2 linked regions of the Oryctolagus cuniculus genome follow. The protein of the gene in region 2 interacts with the protein of the main gene of each other region in a pairwise test. Links are inferred from orthologs where the notes say so. Each region holds a gene or a part of one and is shown on either strand. Other genes may lie near its edges.

Evidence for each region.
Region 1: the proteins of TCHP (region 2) and NDOR1 interact in binary tests that used the Homo sapiens proteins (3 or more experiments, as listed by UniProt). The two-hybrid records come from large-scale screens. The link is inferred for Oryctolagus cuniculus from reciprocal best matches to the Homo sapiens genes TCHP and NDOR1.

Annotation. Positions count from the first base shown.
Region 1 is NC_091432.1:237,492,952-237,497,469, forward strand, and holds the start of NDOR1 (NADPH-dependent diflavin oxidoreductase 1), read left to right. Parts: upstream 1-1,694; coding exon 1,695-1,950; intron 1,951-2,060; coding exon of another isoform or gene 2,061-2,109; coding exon 2,110-2,138; intron 2,139-3,107; coding exon 3,108-3,235; intron 3,236-3,701; coding exon 3,702-3,800; intron 3,801-3,884; coding exon 3,885-3,986; intron 3,987-4,065; coding exon 4,066-4,275; intron 4,276-4,472; coding exon 4,473-4,518. Other genes in the region: TMEM203 (transmembrane protein 203), read right to left, coding at 1,134-1,544. UniProt on the Homo sapiens protein: NADPH-dependent reductase which is a central component of the cytosolic iron-sulfur (Fe-S) protein assembly (CIA) machinery.
Region 2 is NC_091452.1:18,803,033-18,806,822, reverse strand, and holds part of TCHP (trichoplein keratin filament-binding protein), read right to left. Parts: intron 3,370-3,790; coding exon 3,288-3,369; intron 1,941-3,287; coding exon 1,755-1,940; intron 1,221-1,754; coding exon 1,077-1,220; intron 392-1,076; coding exon 359-391; 3' UTR 1-358. UniProt on the Homo sapiens protein: Tumor suppressor which has the ability to inhibit cell growth and be pro-apoptotic during cell stress. Inhibits cell growth in bladder and prostate cancer cells by a down-regulation of HSPB1 by inhibiting its phosphorylation.

The sequences.
Region 1 (4,518 bases), on a different chromosome or scaffold from region 2:
AGCGCCAGCTGGTGTCCGACTCTGACAACGCAGGTCAGTCCTGGGCCGGAGACATCTTGGTAGTGAGACTGACCCGGCCAGGGGTCTCCCAAGTGCAGGGCAGTGCGGTAGCGAGCCTACAGGACCGGCACCCCTCAGGCAAGGGGACACAGGCCCACAGGCTGGACAGGCTGTCACAGCAGGGTCAGCACACCTGCTCTGGGAAAAGCGGTCCCGAGCCCTAGAGGCCGTGGACACTGCTGGACGCCCTACAGCCTCAGGCCAGCACCCGTCCTCGGAGGACGGCCAGGCCCCGTCGGCCGAGGTGCCGGGTGCTGCCCTGCCACTCGGGCCGCGGCCACCGTCACACACCCTTCATCCCGAACCCTTCTAAACGTGGAAGCCTCCCCAGCTCACGAGTGGCGGGAAACCAGGGTTCAGGGCAGCTTTGCCCCCGGCCCTGCAGAGCCACACATGGCAGGTGCCCTCACCTGGGCGCCCCCGCTCGCCTCCCCTCCAGGTCCACCCCAAGCCCCGCCGTGAGACCCACGCAGGGGCCCGTCTTCAGGACGCACAGAAAACCCGCGCCTTTCCGGAAAGATTCTCTTTTATTTTTATCGCAGATGTTCCCACTTGGCACCCAACTGGCGTCAGACCAAAGACCGCGGCCGACAGAGCCGGCCACCCCGCTTCCCACCTGCAGGTCTCAATCCTCAGGGCACCGGGCACCTGTTCCTCTCGGCCAACCCCATGGCAGAGCGATGCTCCCAGCTGACAGCGGACGCGGTCTGACGTCCTTCAGGCCCTGCGTGGTGGCCGGGATGGAGAAAGGACATCAGGCAGGAGATCCACCATCTCACACAGCCTGGACAGCACGGTGCGACTGGAGCTCTTGGGTCAGCACAGCCGGGCCAGGAAGTCCCTGAGTCCAGCGGGGCAGCTGCTGTGCAGGCCCCGAGCTAACGGGAGAAGCAATGTCAGCCACGACTTCTGGGCAGCAAAGTGGCCGCTCGGCTGGGCAGGAGCAGGCGCTGTCTCTGGTGCAGCGGGCGGAGGTGGGGCCCCGGCTGGCCCACGCCCCGGGCTCGGGGTCCCGCACCCCCGGCGCGGGGCTGGCCGCCCCACAGGCCCGGGCACGCACCCCCGCCGCGGGGCTAGTTGACCCGACAGGCGCGGATCATGAGCAGCTGCAGCAGGATGAAGACGGGCGACGCGATGAGGCCGAACCACAGCTCCCGGGTCTGCTCCACCAGCTTCTGGCACAGCAGCATCTCAAAGACGAACTTGAGGCTTAGCACCGTGAGCACCCAGAAGAGGCGCAGCACGGCCAGCCGCTTCTCCCCGTCCTGGAAGAGGCGCACGGACACGATGGTGGTGAAGTAGGCGCTCAGCCCGTCGGCGGCGAACAGCGGCACGAACACGTTCCACCAGGACAGGCCGGGCGCCAGGCCGTCGGCGCGCAGCGCCAGCAGCACGGAGAACACCAGCAGGGCCAGCAGGTGCACGAAGCTCTCGAAGGGCGCGAAGCCCAGCCACTGCACCAGCTCCCGCAGCGAGAAGAGCATGGCGCCGGCCGCGCGCGGCCCGGGGCCTCGCCCGCCGCCCCCGCAACCGCCGCGAGCGCGAGGCAGCGAGCGGCCGCGCCGCCGCCGCCGCCGGCCGCCGCCCGGAACCCCGCACCGGCCGCCCGCCGACGCCCGCGGCGCTCGGACGCCATGCCCCGCCGGGCGCGGCCCAAGTGCGTCACTTCCGGTGGGCGGCGGAAAGCGGAAGTCGCCTCGCGGCGGGCGCCGGCGGTGCACCTGGTGGCGGGGACCGCCCCCCGGGGGAGCCGCGATGCCGAGCCCGCAGCTGCTGGTGCTGTTCGGCAGCCAGACGGGCACGGCCCAGGATGTGGCGGAGAGGCTGGGCCGCGAGGCCCGGCGCCGGAGGCTCGGCTGCCGCGTGCAGGCGCTGGACTCCTACGCGGTGGTGAGCGCTCCGGGGGCGCGGGGAGGGGGCCGGGCCGCGGGGGTGCTCGCAGGGGGCGCCCTCGGTGCGGTGTCCCCGCACGAGGTCTTACCTGCGTGTCTTCTCTTGAGGTGAACCTGATCAACGAGCGCCTGGTGGTATTTGTTTGTGCAACTGCAGGCCAGGGAGACCCCCCGGACAACATGAAGGTAAGGCTGGCCCGGGGGCTCCGCCCCGCACTTGGAGAGACACCGGCGGTAGTCAGTGGCTCTCCGCCGGTGCTGTCGGAGAAGCCTCGCCCTCCGTGTTCACCGCTCGCGGACAGGCTGGTCTGGTCTCCTGTGGCTCCCGGGGAAGGGCCTTTAGGTCTCGGTGCAGCCTGGGCACGGGCTGGGGCCGGGGCTCCCGGGAGCAGAAGCAGCGAGCGTGCTGGGCGGTCCAGTCGGCGCCGGAAGTGCCCGCGGCTGGGGAAGGTGCCAGATGCTAGGGGGGCCAGCCGCGGGGTGCGAGCAGAGCCTCTGGTCCTGCAGCGAGCGGGGCGCCAGGCCCGGGAGGAGGGTGCTTGGCGCTGCAGGGAGGGGCGGCAGGAAGCCAGGCCCAGTGCAGAGTGGCCGGGCAGCGGCGGTCAGGCAGGTGGGCCGGAAGCCGTGGGGCGACAGCTGTCAGGTCCAGGCCTTCTGCTCACCCACAGAAGGGGCGGTGGGCACGCAGGGGCTGAGGCGCCCTTGCAGGGCGGTGGTGGGAGGAGCAGAGGGGCAGCGCGGAGGGCCGCTCTGGTCACGGACAAGGAAGGTCGGGGTTCAGGTTTGGGGCTCCTGGGGTGGCCCTGTGAGGGCGGGGGCGGGGGGAGGGGTCCCAGCAGCACAGCCCAGAACCGCTGCTGCGACGGGGAGACGAGGGGAGGGGGCGCGGGAGGCAGCGAGCTCGCCCCCCACCTCGTGAGTGCCTGCTCCGGGCGGCCTCGGGGCCACCTGCCTTCCCTGGACGGGTTCTCGGCACGGTGGCAGAGCAGTCGTGTTGCTCCAGGTGTCCATGTTCGTCTGCCTGCAAGCCAGGCCTGGGCCGGGCTGAACCCGGGAGGCCAGACCTGCAGCTGGGTCTCCGCGTGGGCGTGGGCGTGGGCGTGGGCGGCGGCCAAGCGCGGAGCCGTCAGCACCGCCTGCGGGGCGCGCGGGAAGCCCGGCTCTCACAGCTCCCTGCGGCTTCAGAACTTCTGGAGGTTCCTGTTCCGGAAGCGCCTGCCGCCCACCTCCCTCTGCCAGATGGACTTCGCCGTCCTGGGCCTTGGGGACTCCTCCTACGCCAAGTGAGTCCGAGGCGGGTGGGCGCTGGGCGGGAGGGGCGAGAGCTGCGTCCCGTCCACGCACGCTCTCCGTGGGGCCGGCGCCCCTCCACACGGCTCCGCCGGGGCGGGGGGCTGCCTCCGGTTTTCCTCGGCCTGCCGTAAACAAGCAGCAGTGTCGCTCGGCAGACGTGGAAGACCGCCCGGCGGTCCCAGAAGGGCGGGGTGGCCGTGCCCGCAGGTCAGGCACCCCCGAGTCCCTTCAGTGGGAGGCACAGGCAGTGAGGACCTGGGACCGCTCCACGTGGTGTTGGTGACCGGGGGGGCACTCCCCACAGAGGAAACCGCGCCCGGGAAGACAGGTGGCCCCCGCAAGTCCCGGCTCCCACCTGCGGGCACCCGGATGAGGGCCGTCGGGAACGAGGCTACTTCCCAGCCCCGGAGCTTCCTCGGCTCTGCCAAGCCTGGGCCGGCCGCGCTGTCTCTGCAGGTTCAACTTCGTGGCCAAGAAGCTGTACCGCCGGCTGCTGCAGCTGGGTGGCAGCGCGTTGCTGCCCGCCTGCCTGGGCGATGACCAGCACGAGCTGGGGTGAGAGCAGGGGGCGGTGCCGTGGCGCGGCCAGCAGGGCCCCGCCACGGGCAGGACGCCCTCAGCTCGTGCCCATCCCCCCAGGCCTGATGCCGCCATCGACCCCTGGCTGCAGAGCCTGTGGGAGAAGGTACTGGAGCTGTACCCTGTGCCCGCCGGCCTCGCCGTGATCCCCCCGGGAGTCCCGTGAGTGTGGGCCTCCCCGAGGGGTGGGCGAGGGCCCCGGAAGGCAGCCCAGGCTCTGACGGCCACGCCCTCCCCACAGCCTGCCCTCCAAGTTCACCTTGCAGTTCCTTCAGGAGGGCTCCAGCGTGGGCTCGGAGGAGCCCCGCGAGGCTGGTGCTGACCCTCAGGGGCCGCCCACAGAGCTGCGGCCCTTCCTGGCGCCCATGGTCACCAACCAGAGGGTCACCGGCCCCTCACACTTCCAGGACGTCCGCCTGATAGAGTTTGACATCACGGGCTCTGGCATCAGGTAAGGGGCCTGACACAGCCTCGTCCCCAGACAGGCAGGGCAGCGGGGTGTGGAGGCGTCCCCGGGAGCTTGGGGCTCGGGGTGGGGCAGTGGGCGCAGGGTTCTCGAGCCCCCGCTGGAGCTGGGAGTTGGCAGCTCTGCTGGGGAGGCCTGAACGTGGCCTCCCTCCGCAAGCCCCTCCCCTAACCCCCACCCAGCTTTGCCGCCGGTGACGTGGTGCTGATCCAGCCCTCCAACACCGCC
Region 2 (3,790 bases):
TGGGGACCGCTGAAATCAGCTGTACCAAACGCTGCAAGACCGCTTCCAACAGACACAGCGACGAGGCTGGAGTCGCTGAGCGCGGGCGGCGGGAGAGCACAACTCGCAGCGCTGTGTGCCGGCCAGCCGACACCGTTCACGAGCGCGCCACGAGGGTGTCGACAGCACTGTCGGCACGTCCCGCTCAGGACCCCTTGAGTAAGAGCAGGGAAGGGTCTCTGGCTGGGAGCTGCACGTCCCCACAGCTCCGTGCCTGGGCCCCGGTGCCCCGGCCCCCACAGAACCTGGTGCAGCTGCTGGGCGGCTCTGCGTCGAGGCTCCAGCACCGTTGCTCTCCGGGCGTCTGGCACCAGCCGCGTCAGTCCCAGGCAATTCTGGGGTGTCCGCGAGGCTGAGGAACAAGGAAGCAGACATGGGGGCGGTGGAAGAGCACCGCAAGTCAGAGCGAAGAGCACGACACGAACGGCTCTTCACGTCCAGCTGGAAGCTCTGCCCGACACGGAAACAGGCTCCCTGCGGTGGTTCCGTAAAGCACCAGCCCTGACACACTCCTGCGCGCCCTGGGAAGCCCCGTCCCCAGACACTCGCTGTGCACGGCCAGGGGAGCTCCCTGCGGTGGCCTCCCCGCTCGCTCTGTTCTGCTTGGCTTTGGGACTCCCTGACCCGGAAGGGCCAGCCTCCTCCCCTCACAGCTCATGACCTCGAGAAGGCACCGTGGGGCACCAGGCAGCTTTCCTGTCTCACCAGTCGGGAGCCTGCCCCTGCTGTCACCTCTCCCCAGCTGTGGCCACCGCCCTTCTCAGATTGCTCTTGGCCCCCAGACAGGCTGGACAGGCTGGACAGGCACGCAGCTTGGCGGCGGGGTATCAGAGTCTGGGCTGCAGTGGCAGGAGCCAAAAAGCGTGAAGGCTGTTGGAGGCCCAACGAAGGACTGAAACAGACCCTGCGCCGAGGTTCTCTACTAGTCAGGAGGAGGCAAACACAAGAGGAGCGCCCAGACAGAACCGAGACGCTGCACTGCACAGCACAGCACAGCTCAGCGGGGCTGTGGACACGCCGCGGAGGCGCGCTCCTACCTTGGGCCGGTAGCCACGCTCGGCCATCATCTTCGCCTCTTGCCGCAGCAAGGCGTCCGACAGCTGCTCTGCCTGCCTGGCCTCCTCCTGCTCCTCCTCCTCCTGCTGGTCAGCCTCCCGTGCCTGCAGCTGGCGCTCTGCCACCTAGGCCCAAGAGCAAAGTCACCCCAAGGCAAGGCCCCGGGGCACAGCCCTGCGCCTGCTCAGCAGGGGAGGCTGCGGGCCCAGCTGGGCTGGAGGACCAGAGCTCTAAGGAGCAGGGGCGGCAGGTGCCAGGAAATGGGAGGGGCCCCTGGGGACTGGAAAAGGCTTGGCCAGCAGCCGTCCGGGTCTTATACAAAGCTCCACACACGGCTGTGTGTTGGGCAGAATATTCCGTGTTCCACCTCAGGTTGTGGAATTGAATAAATGGAGAACTGTGGCCCAAGGAGCCACCTGTCCGCAGGTGCGGACAGGACGGAGGGGACAGACAGGCCAGCCGTGCCCACCAGAGGCGAAGGACCCTGTGTGGGGTGCGCCAGGGCTTCAGCTGCAGTACCCAGGGCCACAGCGCACTGCACTCTCCAACACGAGCGAGCTGTGCGGAAAGCGCACCAGCCCTCAGGCCTGCCCTGCAGCGAGGCAAGGATGCGTCCCCTGCAGAGGCTGCCTCCCGCCCAGGGCCCTGGCTCAGCCCACCTGGGCTTCCAGCTCCTGCTTCCTGGCCGACTTCTGTTCTTCACTCTGCCCCTGCTCCCGGCGAGCCGACTCCCTCGCCTCCTCCAGACTGCGAATGAGTTGCTCCCTGTGCTTTAAGGATTCCTCTTGCGCCCGTCGGTTTCGTTCAATCTTTTCTTGTATTTGCTGTTGTCTTCCCGCCAGGACCTGGCCTCGGCAGGAAGGAAGAAGCAGACTTGAGAACAAGCCTTGGCCAGGCAGCTCCGCAGGCGACCTAACCCTCAGCCTCGGGTCTAAAGCCCGACAGGACGGCCAGGCCCCACTCAGACTCGGGCAGAGTGAGACTCGTTCCCTAGCAGTGGGGAAGCCCACAAGCCCCGCAGATGGCCACAGGGGGTGGGGGGGCCTCGGCTCATGGGGTGACATCCCCCACTCAAGGCCCCAGAGCAGCGTGATGTCTTGCACCAGCCTCGGACGGCCTTGGGGATCAGAGAGGCGCCTGGGAAGCCACCGACACACCCTACGGTCACGCTCTCGGGAGGGAACCTGCAAAGCAGCCACGACCAGGACCCAGGCTGGAGCGAGGAGAATCAGCGGCCACTGGGGACACCTGGTATTCACAAGAGTGGGAAATCACCAACGGAGACCCCAGTTCCCACCGCCAGGCACACGGGACTCCCTGCTCTAAGCCACTCGGAGCTCTCGGCACACAGGTGACACAGACCACCCAGCCACTGGGCGTCTTCCACGTGTGCTCTCCAGACCATGGCTGGTTCCCCGTGCTGAGGGAGAAATCTCAATGTGGAAAAGCCCAAAACACTCCGGGCAGCATTGCTTACAGTGGCTCAGAATGAGAACAAACTAGAACGCACCAGACAGCGATGGAAAGGCACGCTGGGAGGCCCTCAAGAGGACGCGTGGTAACAATCTGGCCGTGACACGGCATTTACACACAGAGCAGTACGTGGAAACGCTCGCCTCGAACGGCACAGTATAATAGGCACCGGCACACACGGAAGCAGGAGTTGAAAGAAAGATGCCAGTGGCTATGCCGAAGACAAGGCTCGGGTGCTGTCAGTTTTACTTTCTGCAAGTTCGTTCTTTTTTTTTTTTTTTTGATAGGCAGAGTGGACAGTGAGAGAGACAGAGAGAAAGGTCTTCCTTTGCCGTTGGTTCACCCTCCCACGGCTGCTGCGGCCAGTGCACCGCGCTGATCCGAAGGCAGGAGCCAGGTGCTTCCTCCTGGTCTCCCACGCGGGTGCAGGGCCCAAGCACTTGGGCCATCCTCCACTGCACTCCCGGGCCACAGCAGAGAGCTGGCCTGGAAGAGGGGCAACCGGGACAGAATCCGGTGCCCCGACCAGGACAAGAACCCGGGGCGCCGGTGCCTAGTGAGCCGCGGTGCTGGCCTGCAAGTTCTTTCAACAAGAGTTTCCAAGCCCACGTAAGATAACTGGAAGAGACTGTCCCCAGCAGCGCCGGTGGGATCAGTGCTCCACGGTGGACTCCAGACACCTGCCTGGGGCCCCGGGCCTGGAGGAGATGCTGGCTTACCTCGCTCATGAGCCTGTCGCGTGCACTCCGCTCTCGGGCCCACTCGGCCTCTCTCTTTTCCCACATCTCCTTGGCCTCCTCCCTGGGCAAACACGAAACAGGTGGCAGAGGCTCTGCACCACTGCTGCTGGCCGGCAGTAAGCCAGAGAGCACACAGGGCCCAGCAACAGGCTCCGGAGGACCAACCTTCCCGTCAGCTTGTCCCCCAAGCTCTGCAAACCTTCCCGGAAGGACTGCCCTCGGAATCTGAGGCTACCCCTTCCCAATACCTCATCTCCTAAAAGCACTGCAGGCAGCTTCTACAGCAGCCCCTGGAGTGATGGAGACCACCAGGCCTGGGCGGGAGGAAGGCACTGCCAGGGCCTGAGCCCTGTGGCCGTGCACTGGGGTCATGGCCAGTGACCTCCGTGAGTGTCAGTGGCTGTCACCCATCACGTGACCATTTCAGTCTATGGGTTAGGTGTCGAGGGCCAGGACCCACTTGCACAGGCCCAAGAAGCACG